Linked DNA regions of Anolis sagrei. The protein of the gene in region 1 interacts with the protein of each later gene in a pairwise test. Links are inferred from orthologs where the notes say so. Each region holds a gene or a part of one and is shown on either strand. Other genes may lie near its edges.

Evidence for each region. The genes of interacting proteins can lie anywhere in the genome.
Region 2: the proteins of WDR6 (region 1) and PTPN3 interact in binary tests that used the Homo sapiens proteins (3 or more experiments, as listed by UniProt). The two-hybrid records come from large-scale screens. The link is inferred for Anolis sagrei from reciprocal best matches to the Homo sapiens genes WDR6 and PTPN3.

The regions. Positions count from the first base shown.
Region 1 is NC_090022.1:28,501,679-28,510,026, reverse strand, and holds the start of WDR6 (tRNA (34-2'-O)-methyltransferase regulator WDR6), read left to right. Parts: upstream 1-4,987; 5' UTR 4,988-5,044; intron 5,045-8,176; 5' UTR 8,177-8,238; coding exon 8,239-8,305; intron 8,306-8,348. UniProt on the Homo sapiens protein: Together with methyltransferase FTSJ1, methylates the 2'-O-ribose of nucleotides at position 34 of the tRNA anticodon loop of substrate tRNAs. Required for the correct positioning of the substrate tRNA for methylation.
Region 2 is NC_090026.1:59,187,599-59,195,457, reverse strand, and holds the start of PTPN3 (tyrosine-protein phosphatase non-receptor type 3), read left to right. Parts: upstream 1-4,757; 5' UTR 4,758-4,762; coding exon 4,763-4,907; intron 4,908-7,859.

The sequences.
Region 1 (8,348 bases):
CAGACTGGTTCCAGGACTTCCTTTGTAATCTGTGTGGAGAACCTGTTTTCTTCAATATCAGTTTGTAGCTGACTTAAGTGGTCCGTGTAGATGTGCCCTCAGTTTCATAGAATGAGTGGTAATGTGTGTCTTTTTTGTCGCTGTCCTTATTGTTGTGTGCCTTGGTTAGAGGCCTGTGCAGTCTGTGACTGGCCAAGTCAAACATAGCCCACCAGCTGAGTATATTGTGATCTGGCAGAAGCTTAACATTTCTTTCTGTCCTCTGTCATCCCAGACAGTAGACAAAAGTTAGAGGTTGGGTTGCTGTAAGTTTTTGGGCTGTATGGCCATGTTCCAGAAGCATTCTTTCCTGATGTTTCGCCTGCATCTATTCATAGATGCAGGCAAAATGTTAGGAGAGAATGCTTCTGGAATATGACCATACAGCTCGAAAAACTTACAGCAACCCAGTGATTCCGGCTATCAAAGCCTTCGACGATACAAAAGTTAGAGGTTGATCAAAATCCGGGAAACCTATGTTTAACTTAGTGAGTCACAAGCTGTATAGGTCTGTGGCAAAATTATTGCGCTTTATAACTGGGTGAAGTTAATGGGGCATGTTACCACTCCACAGTCAAATTGTAGTTCCCATCCTTTGGTCTAAGTATTTTGTAGTTCAGCTTCCACAATTCCTAACAACTGGTAAGCTGGCTGGGATTTCTGGGAGTTGAAGTCCAAAAGAACCGGAGGATCAAAGGCTGGCAACCACTGAACTAGAGGAAGAGATGCCTGTCAGCCTTCTTTAAGTGAAAGAAGCAGCCCTCCCAGTCCCCAAACATGTGCCTGTAGACATCACCGACTGAATGCAATTTATGTTCATGAATTTATGATCATACACTTTAATACACTTAGTTTGCAAGGTGGGGTGGGAATCTTGAGATCCTCCAGATGTTGTTGGACTGCAACTCCTCGAATTTGTTATCTCTGGTCTGAGCTGCTGAGAGTTGCAATCCAATGCAGGGGGTGCATAATTCCCATCCTTGCTGCCTGGGACAGGGATGAAGTCACTACTATTTTGATAGGTTATTGTGAGGATGAGTAATCTTGAAGGTTCTTGTTTTTCCAAGTAATTCCAAGGTTCCTCAAATGTCATCACATAATCATTTTAGCAGTTTAGTAAGTCTAAGCAGATAAGTCTGCAAACCCTTTTTTTCGTGTCAGGACCAACTTGAGAAACTGCAAGTTGCTTCCAGTGTGAGAGATTTGGCCATCTGCAGAGTCATTGCCCAGGGACATCTGGATGTTTTGCCATCCTGTGGGAGGCTTCTTTCATGTCCCCGCATGGGAAGGTGGAGCTGACAGAGGGGAGCTCACCCCGCTCCCCGGATCTGAACCACTGACCTTTCAGTCAGCAATCCTGCCGACAAGGGTTTAACCCATTGCACCTCTGGGGACTCCATAGCCTATTGAAGTCTGTCTAATAAAGTGGTTCTCAACCTGTGGGTCTCCAGATGTTTTGGCCTTCAACTCCCAGAATCCTAACAGCTGGTAAACTGACTGGGATTTCTGGGAGTTGGAGGCCAAAACACCTGGGGATCCACAGGTTGAGAACCACTGGTCTAATAAATCTGTTAGCCCGTTGAAGTACTGTCTAATAGCAGGAAACTGTATGCTGTCTCAGACTATGGAGGAATTTTCTTCTCTGGAAGTTTTTTAAAAAGTTAGATGGCCATCTGTTGGGAGTGCTTGGATTGTGTGTTCCTGCATGGCTGAATGGGGTGGGACTGGATGGCCCTTGGGGTCTCTTCCAACTCTCTGATTCTAGACTTGGCTGAAAGGCCCTGCCTCACTTAGTACTACTGAAGTGCAAGCAAGTTGAATGCAAAAGAGATTTCTCTTCGTTGCCGTTCTTTCTGAACTAGGGCCTTGTATTTCTTTTGTGTGTATGTGTTTGCCCTAGAGCAGGCATTCACTTCTCAATTATGATATTTCCACATTACTAGCTAGTGATATGTAAACATGTAAGGGTTTTCTATTGTTTGAAGAAGCCAATAATTGGGTAGAAGTGTGTTGGCACTTTATGATTGTAATCCAAAAATACAGAAGTTCTCCTGAGGCCAGAAAGTAGCATCGATACAATGGCTTGCTTTGCCCAAAGGCATGAGATACGGACCCAAACCCACAACCGAAACCTCTTGCTGACCGTCGCTAGTCCGAGTGCCCTCACGTTGCTGGTTGCATTTATTAATTAAGTGATCAGCATTTATTTTGGTTGTTACCGTGTGTGTTCTTGACACCTTTGTATTCCTAAGTTATTTTGCTTCCTTATTTAATATTTATTTTATTTATTTATTATCCCATGCACAGACGTCAGGCTGTCTATCCTGCCAATAAAAAATTGGAAACCCAGTGTTGTCTGTTCTGTTGTTTTGAGCTCAAAGGACACCATGACTGTTCCTCAAAGACTTGCTTTATTAGACGTTCAGTGTGTAATGTTGCCAGTCTTAAATGTCAAAATACAAGCAACAACCTCTGCTGCCCCATGACATGATTTGTATGTGCTTTTTAAAGAATATGATTACACTATGTAACATAATTTTTGTTCTTGGGTTATAAATGTCATTTTCCTAATTGGTTCTATCATTTAAAATATGGAAAACGTTTATTACACTGCAAAAACATGGTTTTTGTGGGAAATCCTGCAGCACATTTTGCTATAGTTTTCAATGATTATTTCACAGACTCTCAACCAATTCAACGTAGTTTGTGGCAGCCACAAAAATGAAATTCATGGAGTAGAACTATTTTCAAAGTTAGTACTGCAGAATGAAATAGGAAATTACACTTGCAAACCCGGAACAGATTTTTTTTTTCAAATTTTCTTACATAGTGTTAGTGATGTGATGTCCACTATTAAAAACAACAGGCAAGCCATCATACTCTTTAATAATAATAATAATAATAATAATAATAATAATAATAATAATAATAATAGGATTTAAAGATCAAATTGGCACAAGCCAGTAAAGGTTGTTCCAGTGGTGACTGGCACACTGGGTGAAGCTCTTGAACACCTTGGCCTGCACTTATAAACAATCGATGCTGGCAAAATTACCATCTGTCAGCTGCAAAAGGCCACCCTACTCGGATCTGCACGCATTGTTCGCTGATACATCACACAGTCCTAGACACTTGGGAAGTGTCCCATGTGTGATCCAATAGAAAGGATAGTATAATGATCTTGTTTGCTGTGTACTCATCTTGTGTAAATAATAATAATAATAATAATAATAATAATAATAATAATAATAATAGGAGGAGGAGGAGGAGGAGGAGAGTTCCTGGGAGAAATTGAGAGCCAAATTGACAAAAGAAAAAACATGGCTGTGGCTCCCAAATGGAACTTTAAAAAAGGAGATAAAGGAGGACCTGATTCTGGCAGCCCAAGAACAAACCATTAGAACCAATGCCATCAAAGCCAGAATTGGAAAAGTCGATGACAGATCCCAAGTATAGACTCTGCAAGGAAGCAGATGAAACAATACATCACATCCTCAGCTGCTGCAAGAAGATCGCACAGACGGACTACAAGCAGAGACGTAACACTGTTGCTCAGATGATTCATTGGAACCTGTGCCACAAATACCATCTGCCTGCGACAAAGAACTGGTGGGATCACAAGCTGGAAAAAGTTATAGAGAATGAACACGTCAAAGTACTCTGGGACTTCTGAGTTCAGACTGACAGAGTTTTGGAGCATAATACTCCTGATCTCACGATCATGTTAAAAAACAGTGTGGATCTCCGATGTTGGAATCCCAGGTGACAGCAGAGTTGAAGAGAAACAACTGGAAAAGCTAAGACAATATGAAGATTTAAAGATCAAATTGCAAAGACTCTGGCACAAGCCAGTAAAGGTAGTCCCAGTGGTGATGGGAACACTGGGTGCAGTGCCTAAAGACCTTGGCCTGCACTTAAACACAATCAGCACTGACAAGATTACCATCTGCCAGCTGCAGAAGGCCACCTTACTGGGATCTGCACGCATCATTTGCCGATACATCACACAGTCCTAGACACTTGGGAAGTGTCCGAAGTGTGATCCAATACAACAACCAACAGAGATCTTGTTTGCTGTGGACTCATCTTGTTATGTTTCTAATAATGATAATAATAATAATAATAATAATAATAATAATAGACAAACAACTGGAAAAGTTGACACAGTACGAAGATTTAAAGATAGAACTGCAAAAACTGTCACAGGTCAGTAAAGGTGGTCTCAGTGGTGATTGGCACACTGGGTGCAGTGCCTAAAGACCTTGGCCTGCACTTAAAAACAACCAGCGCTGACAAAATTACCATCTGCCAGCTGCAAAGGGCCACCCAACTTGGATCTGCACGCATTATTCGCTGATACATCACACAGTCCTAGACACTTGGGAAGTGACTGATGTGTGATGCAATAAAAAGGCCAGTATAGTGATCTTGTTTGCTGTGTACTAATCTTGTTGTGTATCTGTTATGTATCTAATAATAATCTTGTTGTGTATCTAATCACAATAGTAATGTTTTATGTAGGTGTCTCTCATCCTAATAATCTGCTTGTGTATCTAATAACAATAATAATGTTTTATTTAGGTGTCTTTACACTATAGAATGAATGCAGCTTGACACCCACTGATTTTAACAGGTGTGTGTTAATTGTTTTAATTATTAATATTTTAATATTTTAATGTATTGTTGATTGTTTTATTATGATGACACTCCCCCCCCCCCTCGGGAGTGAGAAGGGCGGGGTATAAATATAGGAAATAAATAAAATAAATGTAGTTAAAGTGATATCCAACTGCATTCCCTCTTTGCAACAATGCTTCTGCTGCACCTTTAAAAGCTCCTCGTCCCGCCTCTCCGGGTCTGAACGCCCGTCGAATCACAGCGCAAGGATGAACGACCTTGGGAGACCCAGCGTCCAATCACATTCCGCGTTGGGATGAGAACTGGAAAAGAAGACTCGCGATTGGCTCGTGAGCTGCTTTCGCCAGAGGAGCGCGCGCCGGGCCAGGTAACAAGCGCGTGGGGCCTTTTAAAGGGGAAGGGGCGCTGCGAGGAGGACCCCCCCCCCTTCAGGGTCTTAAATTGCCCTTTGGCTCTGGGCTTGTTTCCAGACTATACTTGAGCCCCTGTTTCGTTTCCTGTAAATGTAAAGGGACTCTGGGTTGCAAGGGTGCAGAATTAATACAGTTTGGCACCACCAATGACTGAATGCTATGGTATTCTGGGAGTTGTAGTTTTGCAAGGCCTTTAGGCTTCTCTGTACCCAAAGTACAAATCCCAGAACTCCTCTGACTGTGAGCCAATCTGGCAGGGTCTTGGTTGTGTTTTGTTTTGGAGCAGAAGGACCACATTTTGGGAATCTATCAAGCATGGGCAGACTTGGGCCCTCCAGGTGTTTTGGACTTCAACTCCCACAATTCCCAACAGCTGTGCTTCTTGTAGGTTACAGCACAGTCCAGGATAATAGTCCAGAAGCAACTGCTGACTACTTCTTTAACTCTAGATCACTGCTTCTTAAACTGGGATCCATCCCCAAGTGGAGTCCTCTTAGCTCAATGCTGAAAAACTTGGCAAAGGTAAAAGGTTTCTGATCATCACCCATTTGCACAAATCTGTTAGCAACAAGGGGCAGTGTTTATAGTGGACTCTGCAGAAAATGCTTCAGCTGTACTCCACCAAAAAGATAATCAGCCTGTTTAGCTAGTCTTGCAAATGCTGGTTTAGTATCAGGAAATATTTGATTTCTGTACCTAATTTACATAACTATATACCTGGGCTCATGTGAAAACTTCTTTATGGTTTTTAATGTAGATGTTTATTTTATTTGTATGTCTGCTTATGTGGCATTGAATTGTTGCCTACTTGTAAGGCGCAGTGAGTCCCCTTCAAGGTGCAAGAAGGCGGGGTATAAATATAGGGGTTTGTTTTTTTTGTCGTGTCAGGAGAGACTTGAGAATCTGCAAGTCACTTCTGGTGTGAGAGAATGGGCCGTCTGCAAGGACATTGCCCAGGGGACGCCCAGATGATTTGATGTTTTTATCATCCTTGTTGGAGGCTTCTCTCATGTCCCCGCATGAGGAGCTGGAGCTGATAGAAGGAGCTCATCTGCCTCTCCCCAGATTTGAACCTGCAACCTGTCAGTCTTCAGTCCTGCCGGCACAGGGGTTTAACCCACTGCGCCACCAGGGGCTCCACCAAAAAGATAATCAACCTGTTTAGCTAGTCTTGCAAATGCTGGTTTAGTATCAGGAAATATTTGATTTTTTTACCTAATTTACATAACCATATACCTGGGCTCAAGTATTTATTTGTCGTGTCAGGGCAACCAGTCAATTGTATTACATTTCTAACAGAACAAAGCAAACAAAACAGACAAAGTACAGAATTGTGAGTTTGGTAGTTGATTAAATGTCCTTTGACCAGTATCTGGCCACTTGGAGTCCTTCTGGTGTTTCTGCAAGAAGGTCCTCCATTGTGCATGTGGCAGGGCTCAGGTTGCATTGCAGCAGGTGGTCTGTGGTTTGCTCTTCTCCACACTCGCATGTCGAGGATTCCACTTTGTAGCCCCATTTCTGAAGGTTGGCTCTGCATCTCGTGGTGCCAGAGAACAGTCAGTTCAGCGCCTTCCAAGTCGCCCAGTCTTCTGAGTGCCCAGGGGGGAGTCTCTCATTTGGTATCAGCCATTGGTTGAGGTTCTGGGTTTGAGCCTGCCATTTTTGGACTCTCGCTTGCTGAGGTGTTCCAGCGAGTATCTCTGTAGATCTTAGAAAAGATCTAGTAAAAACTTCTCAGGCAGATGTTTTTTACCCTTATGGTAGATATTTATTTTATTTGTATATCTGCTTATGTGGCATTGAATTGTTGCAGGGTAGAAGTGTCTGAAATAAATAAATAAATACTTGTAAGGTGCTGTGAGTTCCCTTCAAGGTGAGAGAAGGCGGGGTATAAATATAGTAAATATAGCAAATATAGTAAATGGTCTGGTTGCCCCTGACATGATAAATGAATGAAAAAATATAGTAAATACTGATAAATAAATAGTTTAAGAATAGTTGTTTGCTGTGTACTCATCTTGTGTATATAATAATAATAATAATAATAATAATAATAGGATGAGGAGGGGAGTTCCTGGGAAAAATTGAGAGCCAAATTGACAAAGAAAAAACATGGCTGTGGCCCCCAAATTGAACTCTGAAAAAGGAGATGGAGGGCCTGATCCTGCTCTAGATCATAAAGGGGGATGTGAGTACTCTAGCTAATGTTGAACTACAATTTCCATTATCACTGACCATAAGCTCTGCAGGTTGGGACTGATATGAAGAGGGCCCGAGCTTCCTCTCCTCTAAATTGTTCTTATTTTCTAAGGCGATAAACAGCATATTCCTTAATCCAATCTTTTTTGAAATCCAGAATCTCCATAACCTTTTGGAGAAAAATGTCATTCCCAACCATTTGAAAATAATAACCTTTTTGCAAAAGTATGATCTTCCAAAGAGAAGCCAAAAACCTCATTTGAGTAAAATCTTCTCTTCAGTGGTATATAATCACATGTACTTATGCAAGGCAATTTGGTTTCCAGTTTTTAGACTGATAACCCGGTTGTCTCTCATCTGTTAGGAACAGAGGTTATGCCAATACACAAAATATAGCAGTTCTTGGGTGCACAAAAATACCTCTACTCTCCCATAAAATATCTTGTTTCTATATCATGCTCTCAAGATTTTGTTAAAAGTGATATATTTGGTTTACTCATATCCTTCATGTATTCAGCATACAGGTACATAGCTTGTTAATCCAGTTACAGATAGGTCTAAAAGTAGTTTCTCTGTGCATATAACACAGGGCATCTTTCTTACAATCAACAGCATCATGAGTTTGCTCGTAACAGTCCATAGTCTAATGGTGTTTCTGCTCTAAAATGGAGACTGAGCTCTGAGCAGTCCCAGATCTGGAGCCCCTCCCACAACCTCAAGAAACATAGAGTAAAGGGAAAGCTGCATATCAAAACATACAAATATAATACAGTAAACAAACCAAATCCTATACAAACAAATTACTAGTGTGATATTGAAGAAGGTTGCTATTTTCAACAAATCTGAATCAATGCATATCTACAACATTGCCACCTCTCTCTCCTCAGACGTCTGCATGTCCTGAGAAAGACAACTATCCAAGGTCCTCTCTTTCCCTCCTTCGGGCGCAATGGAAACAGAACTGCTCCTGGCCCCTATCACTGCTTTGGAGATTGTGGGAGATCACCTTGTGGCAGGTAGGTATCCTCTGAATCCATGTCGTGGTGGCCCAGAATGTCC
Region 2 (7,859 bases), on another chromosome or scaffold:
CCACAGGCTGAAACTCTCATGTCATTTTATGTGGCAATCCAAATGCTGGACTACAACTCCTGTATTCCTCATCATTAGATATCATGACACAAGCTGATGGGAGCTGTGATGCAGTAACATCTGGAAGGCTGGAGTTTGTTCTGTTTAGGATAGGAGTTCACGCCTTCCCATGCTCTGATACTGAAAAACAAGCTCATGACAAGCTAATTATTGGTGTTAATAGTCAAGACAGGAGATGGATCACATTGGACTCATCAGTGAAAGTTGTAATTGCTTTGTATCTTTTGGGATGGCAGTATGTTATAGACGCTATTCCAGGGGTCAGGAACCTTCGGCTCTCCAGGTGTGGTGGACTTCAACTCCCACAATTCCTTGAGGCTCGGCATTCACCCCAAAGGCTTACCTTGGCCTCAAGGAATTGTGGGAGTTGAAGTCCACCACACCTGGAGAGCCGAAGGTTCCCCATGCCTGCGCTATTCAAAGCTATTTATTTTCTATCCCGCCATTTAAGGGGAAAGATGTACCTATTGCTGCACCTTCCTGTCTGAAACAGTCAACAAGGTTAGGTTTCGTTGCTCAAATATTCAAACTACTCCTTTGTGAATAAATCAAATTAGTTCCTGTAGTCTTGTAGTAAAACAAACTATGAAAGTTATATAATCTTTTAAATGCCTACCTGCCACAAAAATGGGCAGACTTGTGACTGATTTATGATATTCTGTGCTTTGAGGGAGTGGGATGTCAAGTTTCTCTGCCCTCAGGAAAAGAATTTGTGAAAAGCCTGTGCTCACAACTAGTCCCCATATCCAGTGAGTGAAATGAAGCCAGAAAGCTTTTACTATTATCTTTCTCACACATAAACACACATAAACATACACAAAAAGAACAATGCAGAGGTGCAAGTCCTACTTTCCCACTTCATTAGGAGTGAACTGTCAGCTACTTTTAAAAAAATGCAAAAATAGTATTTTTGGAGGAGTTACATAGTGATCTCAGAATGGATTTTTTTCTTCTTCCAGTGTCAACCAAAGTAGTTTCCAACACTTATATTCCAAAAATATTGCATGTGTTTCTATCATATCCATAACATACAATAACACAATCATCTTGTGTCCTTACACCAGTAGGGATTTTCTTGTTTTTCTTGCTGTGCTTTCAACTCTGAAAGTATAAAACTAAAGACTTAAATGGATCTTGTCTCAGGGTTATGCTAAATTTCCCTGCACATTGAGGATTCCCCTTGTCATCCTTCTTGTACCTTCAAGAAACAAAACACATACTTACAGAATATAAACTCTTAAAGTAAAAGGTAAACAGCTAAGAGTCCTGATGCCATTCATGCCTCCTCACAGCTTTCAACTTGGGCTCCCATCCCACTAAACCAACACATTAAAAAAATGTTATTCAATAGCAAGAATGGGGTAAGAAAACCATGGAAAATGGTATCACTAGAGGGCACGAGTACCATTCTAAGAAAGGAAATTTTTATACGGTACTTACTTGACCTACTTCCATTTACAGCTAAAAAAAGACTCGGAGATGTTTGCAGCGAACAAAGATAAGACATAATGCAAAAGAAAAAAGGATGCAAGGGTTTGAGAGGGATAAAAAGCAAACTAGTTCTTAGCTACCATTTTATTATAATAATTAGCTGTCCCCTGCCACACGTTGCTGTGGCCCAGTCTGGTGATCTGGAAAATAAAGTAATGAGAAAGTGTTGGTTTCTAATATATATAATTTCTTTAGGCTTGTGAGTAAACAGTATTTCTTGTTGTTTCTTTGTCAGTGTTGATGTGGAGAGTGTCTGGTTTGCCTACTCTGTAATATGGAACATATCATAGTCCTTCTTTAAGGGTCTCTTTCAAATCCATGATACTATATCTGTGTGTGTGAGAGAGAATCATATCTATCTATCTATATTTATGACTGGATGGCTCTTTGTCAGGAGGGTTCTGATTACATTTTCTTGCCCTGGTGAAGAGAGTTGGACTGGATGGCCTTAAGTATTTTCCGTTGGCCATGGGGTTCCCGAGTGGGAAGTTTGCCCCATTTCTGTCGTTTGTGGGTTTCAGAATGCTCTTTAATTGTAGTGAACTATAAATCCTAGTAACTACAAACCCCAAATGTCAAGGTCTATTTCCTCCAAACTCCATCTGTGTTCATATTTGGGCATATGGAATTTTTGTGTCAAGTTTGGTCCAGATCCATCATTGTTTGAGTCCACAGTGCTCTCTGGATGTATGTGAACTACAACTCCCAAACTCAAAGTCAATGTCCAGTGTGTTCCATTGGTCATGGAAGTCCTGTATGCCATGTTTGGTTCAATTCCATCATTGGTGGAGTTCAGAATGCTCTTTGATTGTAGGTGAACTATAAATCCCAGCAACTACAACTGCCAAATGTCAAGGTCTATTTCCCTTAAACTCCACCTGTGTTCATATTTGGACATATGGAATATTCGTGCCAAGTTTGGTCCAGATCCATCATTGTTTGAGTCCACAGTGCTCTCTGGATGTGGGTGAACTTCAATTTCCAAACTCAAGGTCAATGTCCACCAAACCCTTCCAGTTTTTTCTGTTGGTCCCTTTGTGCTAAGATTGGCCCAATTCCATCATTGGTGGAGTTCAGAATGCTCTTTGATTGTAGGTAAACTATAAATCCCAGCAACGACAATTCCCAAATGACAAAATCAATTTTTTTGAGTGGAGGACATACATTGGGTTGTTAGGTGTCTTGTGTCCAAATTTGGTGTCAATTCCCCCAGTGGTTTTTGAGTTCTGATGGTACCACAAACGAACATGACATTTTTATTTATATAGATGTTTGTTATATTTGTTATTCTGTATTTTATGATGTGGCATTGAATTATTGCCAATTTTAAACCGCCCTGAGTCCCCCCAGGGGTTGAGAAGGGCGGGGTAAAAATGTTCGACATAAATAAATAAACAAATCCAGTTCAAAGCAGACATTGTGGGTTATCTGCTATAATATATGATATTGGTTGCCTTAGTGGATGATCTGCGCCTGGAGCTCGACAGGGGGAGTGTGTCCCTGTTGGTGCTGCTGGACCTCTCAGCGGCCTTCGATACCGTTGACCACGGTATCCTTCTGGGATGCCTCGCGGGGATGGGTCTTGGAGGTACTGTTTTGCAGTGGCTCCGGTCATTCCTAGAGGGTCGATCTCAGAAGGTGTTGTTGGGGACACCTGTTCAACCCCACAACCATTGTCTTGTGGGGTTCCTCAGGGCTCAATATTGTCTCCCATGTTGTTTAACATCTACATGAAGCCGCTGGGGGAGATCATCCGGAGTTTCGGGGTACGATGTCATCTGTACGCGGATGATGTCCAACTCTGTCACTCCTTTCCACCTGCTACTAAGGAGGCTGTCCAGGTCCTGAACCGGTGCTTGGCCGCTGTGACGGTCTGGATGAGGGCGAACAAATTGAAATTGAATCCAGACAAGACAGAGGTACTCCTGGTCAGTCGCAAGGCCGAACAGGGCATAGGGTTACAGCCTGTGTTGGATGGGGCCGCACTCCCCCTGAAGGCGCAGGTTCTCAGCTTGGGTGTGACCCTGGACTCATCGCTGAGCCTGGAACCCCAGGTTTCGGCGGTGACCAGGGGAGCATTTGCACAGCTAAAGCTTGTGCGCCAGCTGCGCCCGTACCTTGGGAAGTCTGACTTGGCCATGGTAGTCCACGCTCTGGTTACATCCCGTTTAGACTACTGCAACGCTCTCTACGTGGGGTTGCCTTTGAAGACTGCTCGGAAGCTCCAACTAGTCCAACGCTCAGCAGCCATGATTTTAACAGGAGTGGAGCGCAGGGAGCATACAACCCCCCTGTTGCCCCAACTCCACTGGCTACCGATCTGCTACCGGGCTGAATTCAAAGTGCTGGCGTTGGCCTTTAAAGCCCTAAACGGTTCCAGCCCAAGCTACCTATCCGACCGCATCTCTGCCTATGAACCCACCAGGACTTTGAGATCTTCCAGGGAGACCCTGCTCTCGATCCCGCCTGCTTCTCAAGCTCGGCTGGCGGGGACAAGAGATAGGGCCTTCTCGGTGGTGGCTCCTCGGCTGTGGAACGCCCTTCCTACGGACATTAGACTAGCACCATCTCTAATGGTATTCCGCAAAAAAAGTGAAGACCTGGCTGTTTGAGCAGGCGTTCCAATAATTAGTGCAATGATTGGTTAATGAACACTGGAATGGAACAATGGATGACGAATCTGGAACATGTTTTTGATGACGAGACGACAGTGAATGGGTATTGTAGTAACTGTTTATTAATTGTGTAATGTGTTAGGTTGTTAACTGTTTCTATACTATAGCACTGAATTTTTGCTGTTCGTATTTGTTGTGAACCGCTGTGAGTCGCCTTCGGGCTGAGAACAGCGGTATATAAGTAAGGTAAATAAATAAATAAACAATATTCTGGGTTATATGGTTGTGTGGAAGGGCCCTTCACTCCCCTCTGATGATTCCTGAGGCCCACAAGCGTCTCTCTTGTTTTCCTTCATGCAAAAGCGCGTCACCAGCAAAAAAACGTTTTGGAGCGTTCAAAGGGCGCTCACTTCCTGGTGTAAACTGGGGACAGCATTGAAGAGATAAACAGCCCCCCTGCTCCCGCCTTCCTTTGCCCGGCGTTGGCGCGAGGCGGGCGTTGTTCCCACAGCTGGAGCCCTTCCCACGCGGCGTTCTAAGGCCAGCTCCCAGGAAACGCGTGTTGACCGCTGGGGGGCGCCCCGCGAGCGCGTGAGATGGGGCCGAGGTGGGAGGCGCGTGGAAGGAGAGGGCTGGCTTTGCCTCCGCTTCGCCCCGCAGCAGAGCGCTTCCTGGTCTCGTGGTCAGCCGCAGGTGGAAGGCACAGGGTCCCCGAGCCCCCTCCCCACAGCAGGCAGGCAGGTAGGTAGCAAGCAAGCGGGAGGGTTGTGAGCTGGAGCTGGAGCGGCCGGAGGAGGAGGGGAGGGAGCGGAAGGAGGAAAGTTGGCCAAGCCAGAAGCATTTCTTCCTGGGGCCCCGCCCTCAGTTGAGGGAATCGGGTGAGAGGCGGGGGGAGGGGCTTTGGTTTCCTGATCCCATTGGGGACCCCAGCAGGGAACATGGCAAGATGAAAAATAGTCTGATTGGAATTCCCCCCCCCCCCCCCCCCCAGGACCCAAGTGTACAGGGCAAATTGTATGGGAGAAGGCGATCCTGCAGGTCATCTGGATCCAAACCATGTAGACCAGGGGTCCTCAAACACTTCAAACAGATAGGAGCATAGTGTCTAGATCTAAGGAAGTAATGCTACCCCTCTATTCTGCTTTGGTTAGACCACATCTGGAATATTGTGTCCAATTCTGGGCACCACAATTCAAGAGAGATATTGACAAGCTGGAATGTGTCCAGAGGAGGGCGACTAAAATGATCAAGGGTCTGGAGAACAAGCCCTATGAGGAGCGGCTTAGGGAACTGGGCATGTTTAGCCTGAAGAAGAGAAGGCTGAGAGGAGATATGATAGCCATGTATAAATATGTGAGAGGAAGCCACAGGGAGGAGGGAGCAAGCTTGTTTTCTGCTTCCTTGGAGACTAGGACGCAGAACAATGGCTTCAAACTACAAGAGAGGAGATTCCATCTGAACATTAGGAAGAACTTCCTGACTGTGAGAGCCGTTCAGCAGTGGAACTTTCTGCCCCGGAGTGTGGTGGAGGCTCCTTCTTTGGAAGCTTTTAAGCAGAGGCTGGATGGCCATTTGTCAGGGGTGATTTGAATGCAATATTCCTGCTTCTTGGCAGGGGGTTGGACTGGATGGCCCATGAGGTCTCTTCCAACTCTTTGATTCTATGAGTGCCAGGTCACAGTCCCTCAAACTGTTGGAGGGCCGGATTATAATTAGAAAAAAACTTGAATGAATTCCTATGCACACTGCACATATCTTATTTGTAGTGCAAAAAAACACTTTAAAACAATACAATAATTAAAATGAAGAACAATTTTAACAAATATTAGTGGTCCCCTGCCACGCGTTGCTGTGGCCCAGTCTGGTGATCTGGAAAATAAAGTAATGAGAAAGTGTTGGTTTCCAATATATGTAATGTCTTTCTGCTTGTGGGTAAACAGTATTTCTTGCTGTTTCTTTGCCAGTGTTGATGTCTGGTTTGCCTACTCTGGAACATACAACATATCATTGTCCTTCTTTAGGGATCCCTTTCAAATTTTTGATACTGCATCTGTCATATACACATATGTGTGTGTGTGGATGGCCCTTTGTCAGGAGGGCTATGTTTATGTTTTCTTGCCTTGGTGAAGGGAGTTGGATTGGATGGCCTTCAGGCAGCATTTTTCAACCTGGGGTTTGGGACCCTTTGGGGGTTGCGAGGAGGTGTCAGAAGGGTTGCCGAAGACCACCAGAAAACACAGTATTTTCTGTTGGTCATGAGGGTTCTGTGTGGGAAGTTTGCCCCAATTCTGTCATTGGTGGGCTTCAGAATGCTCCTTGATTGTAGGTGAACTATAAATCCCAGTAACTACAACTCCCAAATGTCAAGGTCTGTTTTCCCCAAACTCCATCTGTGTTTATGTTTGGGCATATTGAGTATTCGTGCCAAGTATGGTCCAGATCCATCATTGTTTGAGTCCACAGTGCTCTCTAGATGTTCAATTCCATCGTTGTTTGGTTCAATTTCATCATTGGTGGAGTCCAGAATGCTCTTTGATTATAGGTAAACTATAAATCCCAGCAACTATAACTCCCAAATGACAAAATCATAATTTTTGAGTGATGGTCACTCCTATTGTGAGACGTTTTGTGGCCAAATTTGGTGTGATTTCATTCATTGGTTTTTTTGTTTTTTGTTTTTAGGGTACTGATTATGCACAGAGCATTTATATATATATACTAGCTTGGGGACCCGGCATTGCCCAGGTTATTAGAGAAAGTGGGTAATAGTGGTTCTGTATGCCAAGTTTGGTCTTTATTGGTCTTTGGATAACGGCTGCATTATTTTCAGGAAGTGAGTGAAGGTACTTGAAGTCCCATCATCCATGGCCCATCCTCCTACAAACAGCAGCAGGATATAGAGTGGGTCATGGGGGCTCTGTGTGCCAAGTTTGGTCTTTATCAGTCATTAGATGAGGGTGGCATTGGTGTCATTAAGTGAGTGAAGGTACTTGAAGTCCCATCATCCAAAGTCCATCCTCTTTCAAACTGCAGCAGGATGTAGAGTGGATCATGGGGGCTCTGTGTGCCAAGTTTGGTCTTGATTGGTCATTAGAAGAGTGTTGCAGCAATCTTCGGAAGGGAGTGGAGGTACTTGAAGTCCCATCATCCATGGTCTGTCCTCCTCCAAACTGCACCAGGATGTAGAGTCGGTCATTGGAGTTCCATGTGCCAAGTTTAGTCTTGATTAGTCATTGGCTAGGGTCTCAGTGGTCTCAGGAAGTGAGCAAAGGTACTTCAAGTCCCATCATCCATCTCCAAATTTTTCCAAACAACACCAGGACGTAAAGTGGGTCATGAGAGGTCTATGTGCCAAGTTTGGTCTTGATCTGTCATTGGATGAGGTTTGCAGAGGTCTCAGAATGTGAGTGAAGGTACTGGAAGTTCCATCATCCATGGTCAACCCTCCTCCAAAACTGCAGCAGGATGTAGAGTGGGTCATGGGGGCTCTGTGTGCCAACTTTGGTCTTGATTGGTCATTAGATGAGATTGCAGCAGTCTTGGGGAGTGGAGGTACTTGAAGTCCCATCATCCATGATCTGTCCTCCTCCAAAGTGCACCAGGATGTAGAGTGGGTCACTGGAGCTCCATGTGCCAAGTTTAGTCTTGATTGGTCATTGGCGAGGGTCTCAGTGGTCTCAGGAAGTGAGTGAA